2 linked regions of the Stegostoma tigrinum genome follow. The protein of the gene in region 2 interacts with the protein of the main gene of each other region in a biochemical or structural test. Links are inferred from orthologs where the notes say so. Each region holds a gene or a part of one and is shown on either strand. Other genes may lie near its edges.

Region 1 (7,293 bases), on a different chromosome or scaffold from region 2:
TTTGACCCATTAAGTCTGTGCCAGCTCAAACAACCACCTTTAAACTCTCTCATCCTTTATCCCAGCTCACGCCCGTAGTGTTGTCATCACAAGTGCACATCGAAATAGATTAGATGCCCTACTGTGTGGGTATAGGCCCTGCGGTCCAACAAGCCCACACTGCCCCTTGAAGCATCCCACCCAGCCCCATCCCCCTACAACCCACACACCCCTGAACACTCGGGGCAATTTGGCATGGCCGATCCACACAGCCTGCCCATCTTTGGACTGTGGGAAGAAATCGGAGCACCCGGAGGAAACCCACGCACACAGGGAGAATACGCAAACTCCACACAGACAGTTGCCCAAGGCTGGAATCGAACTCGGGTCCCTGGTGCTGTGAGGCTGCTGTGCTCACCACTGAGCCACCGTGCCACCCAGCTCTTCAACGTCCTGAGGATTTCTGCCCCTCCCACTCTTACAAGCAGTGAGTTCCCGATTCCCACCACATAACCCATTCGTTTATCTACCCAAACCGTTTGAGCTCCATCTCCAGCTCACATTTACTGCTCCCCAACTTCAGTAAACGAGCCAACTTTTTCCAAGCTGTTGTCAGTACTGAACCTGAAACCTCAACCCTGTCTCTCCCCCAAAGATGCTACCAGACCTGCAGACTTTCTGCAGCTGCTTCTACTTTTGTTTCAGGCTTACGCATCCATGATTCATTGTTTTATTTTGGTCAATATTTTAGACATTGTCAACATCTCCTCTCTGATCTTAAACTCTGCACCTTGGCTGATTAAAGGCATGTATCCTTTTTGCTTCTGAACCACTTTATCTAACTGTTCTGCCCCCATAAAGGACCAGAGTAAATTGTCGTCCCTCTGATCCTCAATTAATTGTGTATTCCCTAGCCTCATTTGTTCTACCCGAGTGCACCCCCTCAGGCATATCCAGAATGAATTGCATTTTCCACTGACCAGCCCATTGGACCGACCCGTCTATGTCCCCCCCGACATCTCAGGATAACCTCCTCACTCCTCACTATCCCATCCATTTTTTGTATCAACCTCCTACATTCAAGCGTAAATCATTTATATTTAACATTCAGCCCCTTCCCCAGCCTGTTACACAGGGGGACAGCAGGAGGCCATTCAGCCCCTTCCCCAGCCAGATACACAGGGGGGACAGCAGGAGGCCATTCAGCCCCTTCCCCAACCTGTTACACAGCGGAACAGCAGGAGGCCATTCAGCCCCTTCCCTGGCCTGTTACACAGGGGGACAGCAGGAGGCCATTCAGCCCCTTCCCCAGCCTGTTACACAGGGGGACAGCAGGAGGCCATTCAGCCCCTTCCACGGCCTGTTACACAGGGGGACAGCAGGAGGCCATCAGCCCCTTCCCCAGCCTGTTACACAGGGGGACAGCAGGAGGCCATGTAGCTGGTTCACAGCCAGTCTGTATCATAACACTCAACACACAGCTCAAGTCCATAACCGCTCGTCCACAACCGTCCCATAGCCCATGTCAGCAGTGACTCCATCCCAGCGCTCCAATTTACAATTGATTCTGTTGTCCTGTCCACTTCTCACAGTCCAGCCCCGACAGCTCCGAGGGGACGGACAAAGCTCTAGAAACCCATATGCCTTTTCCCCATCACTTGACTTCACCCAGATCTCTGACCCAGCCCCAGTTGCCCCATGGTGGCACCCCACAAAGAAAAGCCCTTGATGCAGACCTTTCCCCATCCCGAGGTTCCTCGCTGCATGAGGAGTTCGTGAGTTGTGTGTGATCTCCTGGTCCTTGATATGTAACAGTGTGCCAACATTCACACCACAAACACTTCCATCCAGAAGGACAAGGGGCAGCAGGTACATGGGACCCCCACCCCCTGCAAGTTCCCCTCAGAGCCACCCCTCATCCTGACTCGGAAATATACCCCCGTTCCTTCAGTGTCGCTGGGTCAGAATCCCTGGAATTCCCTCCCTAAGGAACACCCACGGACTGCAGCGGTTCAAGGCAGCTCACCCCCACCTTCTCAAGGGGGGCAACTAGGGACGGAGCAATAAATGCTGGGCCCAGACAGAGATGCCCATGCTCCTGAGTGACTACAAGCGAGAGTGTGGTAACCAATTGCTCAGGGATTGGATTCACACGGAGACAGGGAAAGCTGCATTATCTTCTGCTCCCATCTACTGGACAAAGCCCAGCACAGCATCTGGAAGTGGGCCCTTTCTCTTCAGAGCAGGTCAGAATGAGCAAAACCTGTTACCTCGGTCACTCCATCCCTCTGTCAAAGTAAACCTGACGGGGTGTGTTAATAGTGTAATGATGGAATCTATCAATGAGACAGCTTAAAAGGCAGGCACTGCCCAGAGCTAGGATGTCAGGCTGGTGCAATGCCAGTCACCATTTGAAACTGTAATGACACCAGCAGTTTTCAATCAAGATCAGAATCCCTGAACATGAGGTTCAGTATTCCACAAACATTTCACTTCGACACTCAGACTGGGCAAGTTACAGATTTGAGACAGAAACAGCAGGAGGATTAATACACCTCTAGTTATCACACTCTCTCAGGGAGATATCTGTACACTGACTTGTGTCTCTCAGTCCCCTCTCTCTCTCTCTCTCTTAGGGAGATATCTGTACACTGACTGGTGTCTCTCACTCCCCCCTCTCTCAGGGAGATATCTGTACACTGACTGGTGTCTCTCAGTCTCCCCTCTCTCAGGGAGATATCTGTACACTGACTGGTGTCTCTCAGTCCCCCCTCTCTCTCTCTCTCAGGGAGATATCTGTACACTGACTGGTGTCTCTCAGTAACCCCCTCTCTCTCTCAGGGAGATGTCTGTACACTGACTGGTGTCTCTCAGTAACCCCCTCTCTCTCTCAGGGAGATATCTGTACACTGACTGGTGTCTCTCAGTAACCCCCTCTCTCTCTCAGGGAGATGTCTGTACACTGACTGGTGTCTCTCAGTCCCCTCTCTCTCTCTCAGGGAGATATCTGTACACCGACTGGTGTCTCTCAGTCCCCTCTCTCTCTCTCAGGGAGATATCTGCACATTGAACGGCGTCTCTCAGTTCCCCCCGCTCTCTCTCTCTCTCTCTCTCTGTCTCTCAGGGAAATATCTGCACACTGACGAATGTCCCTTCTCTCTATGAAGACTAACCAACAGATACAGAGACAGGAACTGTGCACAGTGCTCCCAGTGTGGGTCAAACTGAGGGATATAGAGACTGGAACTGTGCACAGTGCTCCCAGTGTGGGTCTGACTGAGAGATATAGAGACTGGAACTGTGCACCGTGCTCCCAGTGTGGGACTAACTGAGGGACATAGAGACCGGAACTGTGCGCGGTGCTCCCAGTGTGGGTCTGACTGAGGGATATAGAGACTGGAACTGTGCACGGTGTGGTGTATTTGAGGAAACTAGAGAATCTATCGCTGTGCAGACTCTGACGGAAAATGCAATTTTGGGGGGAAATGATGGGAAATCCTGTTATGTCCATCGACACAGAGTGATGTGCCGGTGGAATTTACTCCGGAACATTAGATGTTTCAAGAAGGTGTTTGATGTATCTCTTGTGTCTCATGGTTTTGAGGGAAATGGGGGGTGGTAAACGTGAGCAGTCATGGAGCTTACTTCTCAGGCATGATCATATTGACTGGTGGAGGAGGTGTGATACACTGAGTGGCCTGTCTGTGTTGGTTCCTGCTATGTTTCAATGAAAGGTGGAAGCTAGGAAATGTTGTATCAGAGACAGTGGGAACTGCCGATGCTGGAGAATCTGAGATAACACGGTGTGGAACTGGTGGAACACAACAGGCCCAGCAGCATCAGAGGGGCAGGAAGGCTGACGTTTCGGGCCAAGACCTGAGATGTCAGCATTTGGGCTCCTGACATGCTGCTTGGGCCTGTGTTCCTCCAGCTCCACCCCTCGTTACCTAGAAAATGTTCTCCTGATGGACCCTATTACTTGCCTGGCCTATGGTGCAGAGTCAGTAAACTTGAAAGTATTGTATTTGTAGTTTTACTCAGCATTAAGGTGCTTTATCATGGTAGGAACTCGACGGGCCGAATGGCCAAATGATGAAACACAATTGCAGAGTGGTTCCCCCTTTTATGGAATTTTGGTCGACACCTTTTAAATCAAATCTTAGGGTGTGTCGGCTTTAAGAGCCTGCGGGGCGGGCGGGGCCTTTTAAATAGTGGCACATCCGGGTACTGGGCCTGCGGGGCGGATTTAGGTCCGGCCAATGGCAGGGCGTTTTGTTTGAGGATGAATTGTGGTGGGCTCAGCCAATAGGAGAGCGGTATATGGGAGAGGAAGCGTTCGGGTCGAGGATGCGGTTCGTGGTGACAGGCGGCAACGTGAGCGGTATGGCGGGGGGAGGGGAGACATAATCTTAACCCTTAGCCCCTCACCCCTCACCCTCTCACTGCCTCACGCTGACTCCTCCCACTGACCCCTCGCCCCCTCACCCTCTCACTGACTCCTCCCACTGACCCCTCACTGCCTTACCCTGACTCCTCCCACTGACCCCTCACTGCCTTACCCTGACTCGTCCCACTGACCTCACGCCCTTACCCTGACCCCTCCCACTGACCCCTGACCCCTCACTCCCTTACCCTGACTCGTCCCACTGACCTCACGCCCTTACCCTGACCCCTCCCACTGACCCCTGACCCCTCACTCCCTTACCCTGACACCTCCCACTGACCTCACGCCCTTACCCTGACCCCTCCCACTGACCCCTGACCCCTCACTCCCTTACCCTGACTCCTCCCACTGACCCTCACCCTGTCTGTCCCCTTTCCCTGAACCTAAGCCCCTCCCCCTCACTCCTCCTGACCCCTCAGTCCCCCTCCGCCCCGACCCCTCAGTCCCCCTCCGCCCTGACCCCTCAGTCCCCCTCCGCCCTGACCCCCCTGTCCCCCTCAGCCCCCCTCCGCCCCGACCCCTCAGCCCCCCTCCGCCCCGACCCCTCAGCCCCCCTCCGCCCCGACCCCTCAGCCCCCCTCCGCCCCGACCCCTCAGTCCCCCTCCGCCCCGACCCCTCAGTCCCCCTCCGCCCCGACCCCTCAGTCCCCCTCCGCCCTGACCCCTCAGTCCCCCTCAATCCCCCTCCGCCCTGACCCCTCAGTCCCTCTCAGCCCCCCTCCGCCCTGACCCCCCTGTCCCCCTCAGTCCCCCTCCGCCCCGACCCCTCAGTCCCCCTCCGCCCCGACCCCTCAGTCCCCCTCCGCCCCGACCCCTCAGTCCCCCTCCGCCCCGACCCCTCAGTCCCCCTCCGCCCCGACCCCTCAGTCCCCCTCCGCCCCGACCCCTCAGTCCCCCTCCGCCCCGACCCCTCAGTCCCCCTCAGTCCCCCTCCGCCCTGACCCCCCTGTCCCCCTCAGTCCCCCTCCGCCCCGACCCCTCAGTCCCCCTCCGCCCCGACCCCTCAGTCCCCCTCCGCCCCGACCCCTCAAGGTTTACACTGTTGCCTCATTGTCTACCCGCGAGACTGAAGTGCCAGCAATTGCAGAAATAAAACTCCAGAAGCCCTGCCGAGAGAGGCCACAAGGTCAGGTGTCGGTGACTGGGAACAAACACACAAATCGCTGGAAAAGCTCAGCAGATCTGACCGTGTCTATGTTCTTGTTTCTGAGGAAGAGTCACCGGATACTACAGCTTCACTGACGCTGCTGGACCTGCTGAGCTTTTCCAGCAATTTCTGATTATGTTCCCAGTAACTGACCCTCCGACAGCGCCCGCTCCCTCAGCACTGACCCCCCGACAGTGCCCGCTCCCTCAGCGCTGACGCCCCCGACAGTGCCCGCTCCCTCAGCGCTGACGCCCCCGACAGTGCCCGCTCCCTCAGCGCTGACGCCCCCGACAGTGCCCGCTCCCTCAGCGCTGACCCCTCCGACAGTGCCCGCTCCCTCAGCGCTGACCCCTCCGACAGTGCCCACTCCCTCAGCGCTGACCCCTCCGACAGTGCCCGCTCCCTCAGCACTGACCCTCCGACAGTGCCCGCTCCCTCAGCACGGACCCTCCGACAGTGTGGCGCTCCCTCAGCACTGAATAACATGCGCTGATGACTTACAGTGCTTAATTGGACGTAATGCTCTGTCATTGATAAACTTATTTTGTGAATATTTTCTGGATTTAGTTATTGGGAGAGCAATACACGCACTCTCGCGGATTGGTGAAGACTGTTACCTTGAGGCATTCGATGAAGGAGTGAGTATTATTGCATGGAAAGATGAAAGCAAGAAGTGGAGAGCTGACACACCAGTCAGTGTACAGATATCTCTCTGAGAGAGAGAGAGGGGACTGAGAGACACCAGTCAGTGTACAGATATCTCCCTGAGAGAGAGAGAGGGGACTGAGGGACACCAGTCAGTGTACAGATATCTCCCTGAGAGAGAGAGAGGGGACTGAGAGACACCAGCCAGTGTACAGATATCTCCCTGAGAGAGAGAGAGGGGGAACTGAGAGACACCAGTCAGTGTACAGATATCTCCCTGAGAGAGAGAGAGAGAGGGGGTACTGAGAGACACCAGTCAGTGTACAGATATCTCCCTGAGAGAGAGAGGGGGGACTGAGAGACACCAGTCAGTGTACAGATATCTCCCTGAGAGAGAGAGAGAGGGGACTGAGAGACACCAGTCAGTGTACAGATATCTCCCTGAGAGAGAGAGGGGGGACTGAGAGACACCAGTCATGGTACAGAAATCTCCCTGAGAGAGAGAGGGGGGACTGAGAGACACCAGTCATGGTACAGAAATCTCCCTGAGAGAGAGAGGGGGGACTGAGAGACTCCAGTCAGGTACAGATATCTCCCTGAGAGAGAGAGGGGACTGAGAGACACCAGTCAGTGTACAGATATCTCCCTGAGAGAGAGAGGGGGGACTGAGAGACACCAGTCAGTGTACAGATATCTCCCTGAGAGAGAGGGGGGACTGAGAGACACCAGTCAGTGTACAGATATCTCCCACAGAGAGAGAGAGGGGACTGAGAGACACCATTCAGTGTACAGATACCTCCCTGAGAGAGAGAGGGGGGACTGAGAGACACCAGTCAGTGTACAGATATCTCCCTGAGAGAGAGGGGACTGAGAGACACCAGTCAGTGTACAGATATCTCCCTGAGAGAGAGAGGGGGGGGACTGAGAGACACCAGTCAGTGTACAGATATCTTCCTGAGAGAGAGAGAGAGAGGGGGGAATGAGTGACATCAGTCAGTGTACAGATATCTTCCTGAGAGAGAGAGAGGGACTGAGAGACACCAGTCAGTGTACAGATATCTCCCTGAGAGAGAGAGAG
Region 2 (7,135 bases):
AAACTCCAGTCTGGGAGGAAAGAACATCAAAGACAATTTTGAAAGACCTCCCAGCTTTTGGATGTAGCAAAGAGGTGTGGTGGCTTTTAACAAACCCAGCAGCTTCTGCTGAAAGCTAAACTAGAGATCCTGGTTCTGTGGGAGGCCCAAGGCCTTGTGCTGTTGACACATGGTTTTGGTGGACTGCTCAGAACTCTGTCTTAAAACCTCTTCCAAAAAAAAACCAGGACAAAATAACCCCTTAAATTCACACCATTATCGCATGCAGTATTTGTGGAGAGACAAGACGGTTAATGCTTTTGGGTCCAATATGACCTCAGTTCTGAAGAGTCAGTAGACTTGGAACGTTAACACTGTTTCTCTAGCCACAGATGCTGCCAGACCCGCTGAGTTTTCCAGCATTTTCTGTTTTTATCACTTGCACCTTGCAGTCTCCCTGTGTTTTTTTTTTAAATTTAAAACTTCCACAGTCAATTGGAAAGACAAGGTATTCAGCAAGCAGTTCACAGCTTTTCCCGTAGGTCAGCAAAACAAAATGACAATTCACTCCCAAGCATATCTTAGCAAGACACATGCTTCATTGATATGACTGAAATGTTTCACAAGCTGAATGGCTGAATAGTGATGGATTTTGTTTTGAAACCAAACTCATTGAGACCTAGCTTCTAATTCTTTTTAGCAAATTGAAAATTCTTCCCTTCTGACATTACTAATCATGTGCAAATATATTGAGAAATGTAATTTATGGAAGGGAAAGGCAGTAAGTTCTCATTTTCTTTGCATTTGAATGGTGGTCAGTGATGTTAACTAAACAGTTATGATGCCAACATGGCTAATTTGGGGAATTTATCCAAGAAACTTGGGACAACTTATTGGAAGCATGAATGCAATATTTAGGAGGAACTGCATGTAATTTACCATCTTTGCAACTGATTGAAATGAAGCAATCACTTCCAAGTGATTCTAGTTTGCTCAGTGAATGTGTGCTCTTTCTGCCACCTAGAGGAGGTGTTTTAAGCCATGTATTTTAGACCATCTCATGGCCAAACAGTATCTCCTGCTCTCAGTAAGTCTCTAACTTCCGCTTGTCTTATGACCTGCACCTTTTGACTTTAGCTTTTCCACTTTTAGCCTGCTGTGTTTCAATATCTCCAATAGAATGCCCTCTTGTGATTTGTTTTGCAATTTCTTCCTTTAAACATGAGAAGGTGTGTTTATATGCTCCTTTTTCTGGTGTTAGCCAGTTGCTGGTCTTTCACTTGATTGCCAACTCTATTTGAATGTTATTCATGGAGGTTACTTTATATGTATATGTCTGCATCTGCTCTAGCCAGCCTATACCTCCCACTTATCAATATGTTTATAACAAATGTTTCATAGTACTCACCAGACCAATAGGAAAAGAAAACTTATTTAAAGAGGAGTATAAATTTCAGCCAGAAAATGACTGAGTTACAGGTGCAGGGATATGGGGAAGAAGCAGAGGCTTAGCAATAAATTGTACAGCACATACAGGCAAAATGGGGCAATGGCCTCCTGTGCTGTATAGAGTCAGAGAATGTACAGCATGGAGATGGACAAGTTGGACTCAACAGTCTATGCCAACAAGGTCTCTTAAATTTAGTCTCATTTGTCCCATATCCCTCTGAACCCTTTTCTATTCATGTAGTTCATCTAGCCATCAAGATTCCTTGTAAATGTTGTCATTGTACCAGCCTCAATCCCTTCTTCTGGCAGCTTATTCCACATGTGACACCCTCTGCATGGAATATCCCTTTTAAATCTCTTCCCCCCTGCACCCCCCCCCCCCCCCTAACCTGTGTCCTCAAGTTTTGGAATCTGCTACCCTGGCTAGTAACCCTATGACTTTATAAACCTAAGGTCAGCACTCAACCTCAGTCACTCTGGGGTAGAAAAAGCCCCCAGCTTATTCAGCCTCCCTGCAGTTACAACCCTGGCAACAGCCTTGTAGATCTTTTCTGAACCCTTTCAAGTTTCACAACATCTGTCCTATAGGATGGAGACCAGAACTCAAGTCATAGATGTGCAGCACAGAAATGGACCCTCATCCATGCTAACCAGATATTCTAAATTAATCTTGTCCCATTTGCCACTATCATGATTTTGTGATAATATTCAAACTGTTTTGTTAATATTGTTTATTCTTGCCATGTGCCTTGTACTCATTTGGGGTTTTTGATTAAACAAAACACAGCTTTTTTTTTAGAATCCCTACTTTATGGAAACAGGCCCTTCAACTCCAGTCCACAGTGACTTTCTGAAGACCATTCCCCCCCCCCCATGACTCCTATGTTTGTCTGTTCTGTCCATGCGCGCCACCCCCCCCCCCCCCCCCCCCCCCCAAACCCGCTCTGCATTTCTCAGGACTGATCTATTTCATCTACACACCCCCAAACACTGAGGCAATTTAGCATGGTAAATCCATTTACCACATATCTTTGGACTGTGGGAGGAACTGGAGTACCCACAGGAAACCCACACAGACACAGGGAGAACGTCACCTGAGGCCAGAACCAAACCTAGGTCCCTGGTGCTGTGGGGCAACAGAACTGGCTACTGTGCTGCCCCTGATGACCAAGCTTCAAGACTTGAAAGAGATGAACCTACTCATGTGCCAAAACTAGATTTTTGAAAAACTTTTCACTGAGTTACTCATGAAAAGCTTTTGTCCAAACTTATTACTATGGAATTAGGGTGACGTGATTAATATGAACCTGCTGACAGAAGGCACCACTGTACGATGGGGAATCATCCTGTCCAAGTGGGCAGGGTAACATGATGGTACCTTTACTTTTCTTAGGATGTGTAAATAACCTTCTCAACAAGGTTAAAAGAAACCACAAGATTTTGCAGTTGACTGTATAGTTCATGCATCAAGGGGAAAAACTCAAGATTGTATCAATTCCTTGAAAGATGATTTGTTGGAATTGCAAAACTGGCAGGACTAATGGGAGAAAGTATTCTGTTCTGACACATTGCTTTATTGTATGTGTTTGTGAAATGAAAGGATCCATCAACAGGTATAAGTTCTGTAATCAAATTCTGCAATGAGTAGATGCGCAAACATATATGAAGGTTCATCTTAAAATCATTCTTCAACTATGGTTCTACATTTAGCATACGCTATCCTAAGCAAACAGGAGTTTTGGATTTCTGAGGACAAATCTTTGTTGTATTGTTAGAATCAGGACATTATACCTTACCCAATAATCCTGCAGTATGGCCAAAAGGTGTGGGATTCTTGTATAACGAGATTCAAGTGAGTGTAATGTAATTCAAAGATATGCTTTGCAAATTAAAGGAAATACACTAGTTTTACCAGTGGATCAAAAATTTTGAATGGTGGTCACTAGCGCAGAGGAGGAAGGAGTAGACTAACCATGATCTACAAAATATGGAATAGATACAGAGAATTGGCAGAACTAAGTAGGTGGTATTGAATAAGACATAAAGATAACAAGGTGTGGAGCTGGATGAACACAGCAGGCCCAGCAGCTTCTTAGGAGCACTTGAAAAATTAACTGTTTATCACTCCACATAGCTAACTCCTCACCCTTGTGTTATTTCGGATTTCCAGTATTCTTGAAGTATTTAACTTTTATTTAAGTATCTCGTGCCATCTGGCAATAACATGTTACAAAGCACAAACTGTCTTCCCGAGGGCACAATGAAAGCGGCCAAAGCAAATGGTCATAGCCCCCAAATTTAGGAGCTAAATAACACATTTTTCAAGACCCAAATTTGGATTATTTCCGTTCAAAGATTTTCACAGCCTGGATGACCAAATCAGCAGGTTGCGCCTAGCTTAGCCAGAGCTATGTACATAAATATTGGTGGATACTGGTCTGTGAACCACTCAAGATGAAGCAGAGGCTAACCCATTCACTCCCACGAATCAGACAAGTGAACCTTCTCGTCAACTTTTTCTGAAGCATTTACATTCTTTCCTATGTACACAGTACTCCAGATGTGGTGTCTCGGCTACAACATGTTGCCTCCTTAGCTACTTCCGGGGGGTTTGTTCTCAGTCACATGATCCCATTACGTTCCCAGTCTCCCGCCCTGATCGTCAGGACCCCTAAACCTTTTGCGTCCACAAATGTGCCTGAGGGCCTTTCAGTACTTGCTGAAATCACTCCGAGCGGGAAACGAGAATGTTTGTTTTGAAACATAAAGATTAAATTCATAAACAGCGATCAGTGTTTGGGGAAGCGTAGAGATGTGTTGGACCCGCGGCTCTTGATGGTGAGGCGGACAGGCGGCAGTTCTGGTTTCCCGGGTAACCGAGGTCGGCAGCTGGAGCCGGTCACCGGGGCCGCAGGAGGCGGAGGGAGGGAGGGCCCGGGAGAGGCGAGAAATTTTCCGGGAGAGGCCGGGGCCCCGCTTTGATGCCTCTTTTCCTGGAGCATCCGCCCTGGGAGTCCAGCAGCCGCTGTAGGTGGGTTCGAGTGAGCGGGGGCTGAGGGAACCCTGTTCTCATTCCCCGACATCCCCCCGCCATCTTAACTGCCACCAACTCTCCCAACATTTATCAGCTTTATGTTTTGCAATGAGACTGGGTAAGACTGAATAACTGATGCAATGTATCTGGGATAATGGGAACTGCAGATCCTGGAGAATCCAAGAAACAAAGTGTGGAGCTGCTGTGTTCATCCAGCTCCACGCTTTGTATCTTGCAATGTGCCAGGATCTTTTTGGAAGACCTGAGGTACTTTCTACCTTTACTGTGTTGACTCCTTGTGACTGAAGGAATTATTTTCCCAGTACTGTGAAGTCAGAAACAATGTGATATGCCATTACTGTAACAAATGACTGTCTTGTTTTGATCTGTGAACTAAATGTATAGTCTCCTATTTAGATCTTTCAGTCATATCAGCTTAATGAATAAGTGATAAAATATTCTACATTCTTTTTCAATCGTTGCAGCTTTATTGTCAAATGTATTTCTATGTGCATGTGTAAATTCAGTTATTTGGGGGGGCAGCACCATCCAGAGTGGCAGATCACTTTTGTAAAAAAAATCGTAAACCTAGAAGTAATCCAGCTTTGATGTGTAATATAAAGTTGAAAACAGATTCTGGTATGTGACTATCTGATGGTCACTCTACTTGTGTTTACGCATCAGTTAAACAGACTGCATCTACATAAAAGTGCTCTTGATGTCATTTGACTTTGTCACATTTGTAACCATTTCTGGAATTGACACTAAAGAGGCTTATTGTATACAGTTATTGTGCTAAATTTCCTTGAGTAACGGAAACTGACTGCATTCACTAATTGGTTTCAAGAATTGCTGACAGTAAAAATGTTTGCAGCTCATATTTCACGGTGAATGTCATATGGTTGGATATGTAACAATATGCTGTGAAATGTTTCCGACAGCTCCGGCACTACTGCTGAAATAACTGTGGGAGGTTGGGTATTCAGAGTTTTCAAAGGCTTCAAATGCATGGTATTTAAGCAAGATAGCAAGTAGTATTCAGAAAGTGCTTTATGCGTGAGTATATTTTTGTATTTGCTCTTATACAGGTTGTTTATTAAGCAGTTTTGATGTCTCTGACTATAAAGCTAATTGGTAATGTAGCTGTAGACTGAACACATGCCATTTCATTGAAGGATAAATAGAAATTTTGTGTACAAATCATCATTGTTGTGGCTGCACAGGACATTGGTTAGCTGCTTTTGGAATACTGTGTTCAGTTCTGGTCTCCCTGCAATAGGAAAGAGGTTCTGAAACTTGAAAGGGTTCAGTAAAGATTTACAAGATGTTACCAGGGTTGGTGGGTCTGAGCTATAGGGAGAGGCTGAATAGGCTGGGGCTATTTTCCCTGGAGCCTTGGATACTGAGGGATGACCTTATAGAAGTTTATAAAATCATGAGGATCATAGATAGGGTGAATACCCAAGGTCTTTTCCCCAGGATAGCAGAGTCCAAAACTAGAGGACATAGCTTTAAGGTGAGAGTGGAAAAATTTAAAAGGCACCAATGGGGCAACTTTTTCAAAATAAAACCGAAAGAACTGCGGATACTGTAAATCAGGAACAAAAACAAAGTTGCTGGAAAAGCTCAGCAGGTCTGGCAGCATCTGTGGAGGAGAAAACAGACTTTGTTTTCTCCTGGTGTTGTGTTAGTTACTTGAAGAGAAATTTAGCGATTCTGCAGACATTGATCTTTTAACAGAATTTGCTTAACATGGAACCAGAGGAAAATGTTGAATTATCTTGGCTTGCAAGCAGGACATAATGCCGAAGTTTATTTAATGCAAATTTTAATGCTTATATTTCCACAGTGTTCAGTGATATTCAAAGGTCAGATTTACTCTTAATTTGAAAGAGACAAAGGAAAACTTTCATTTATATAGAGTCTTTAATGACTTTAGAAGTATTAAAGTGGTTTGCAACCATTTAAATACTTTTGAATTATAGTCACTGTGGTAGTTTCCAAACAACTTTTTTGTCCTGATATTGAGAGACTTTAAATACCTTTTGACATTTCTTTTCTCCAGGTTTAGATTGTGAAAATGCCGAGCTCTGCAAAGCCTGAACCTTTTCTAGTGAAATTTATAAAAATGAAAGGGAACGATTCTGAATATTTCACAAAAGCGTATAAGGTTGGTTTATAAAATACCATTTAATGTTTAAACCTTTCTGACTTTTAACTTTATTCATTTCATACAACTTTTTTCTGATTTGCAGGCCATTAAAGAATTTAAATCTGAGGACTTCCTGCAGATTGTACATGAAGATGAAGTATTTAACTTGAAAGTAAAAGACAGCTCACTTTATATATGTGACCCATTTGAGGGAGATGCTTACAATCACCTGAAAAAGGTATGTAGTTTATTTTTTGCTCTTGTAGAATGTTTTTTTGATTTTGTTATATACTGCTTTTTGTCAAGTGTGGCCTGAACCCAAATAGAAAGCCCACTGCCACATCTGTCTGAACCAATGGTGGTACCACAAGACAGCAAAATTTAGCCCTCAAGCAGAGAACAATTGTGACCTGTACACCAGCTGCTAGAATTTATAATATGCAGCCATAAGATCTCGTGTTCAGTAGGTGAAGGGCTGTATAATTTAATGGATCACATTCAGATTACTAACTACCAGACAA

Evidence for each region. The genes of interacting proteins can lie anywhere in the genome.
Region 1: the proteins of topbp1 (region 2) and cell cycle checkpoint control protein RAD9A-like form a complex in vitro, tested with the Homo sapiens proteins (4 studies listed by BioGRID). The link is inferred for Stegostoma tigrinum from reciprocal best matches to the Homo sapiens genes TOPBP1 and RAD9A.

Annotation. Positions count from the first base shown.
Region 1 is NC_081399.1:1,879,433-1,886,725, forward strand, and holds the start of cell cycle checkpoint control protein RAD9A-like, read left to right. Parts: upstream 1-4,285; 5' UTR 4,286-4,299; coding exon 4,300-4,360; intron 4,361-6,137; coding exon 6,138-6,208; intron 6,209-7,293. UniProt on the Homo sapiens protein: Component of the 9-1-1 cell-cycle checkpoint response complex that plays a major role in DNA repair. The 9-1-1 complex is recruited to DNA lesion upon damage by the RAD17-replication factor C (RFC) clamp loader complex.
Region 2 is NC_081355.1:12,951,534-12,958,668, forward strand, and holds the start of topbp1 (DNA topoisomerase 2-binding protein 1), read left to right. Parts: upstream 1-4,120; 5' UTR 4,121-4,266; intron 4,267-4,306; exon of another isoform or gene 4,307-4,459; intron 4,460-4,465; exon of another isoform or gene 4,466-4,580; intron 4,581-6,527; 5' UTR 6,528-6,542; coding exon 6,543-6,632; intron 6,633-6,717; coding exon 6,718-6,852; intron 6,853-7,135. UniProt on the Homo sapiens protein: Scaffold protein that acts as a key protein-protein adapter in DNA replication and DNA repair. Composed of multiple BRCT domains, which specifically recognize and bind phosphorylated proteins, bringing proteins together into functional combinations.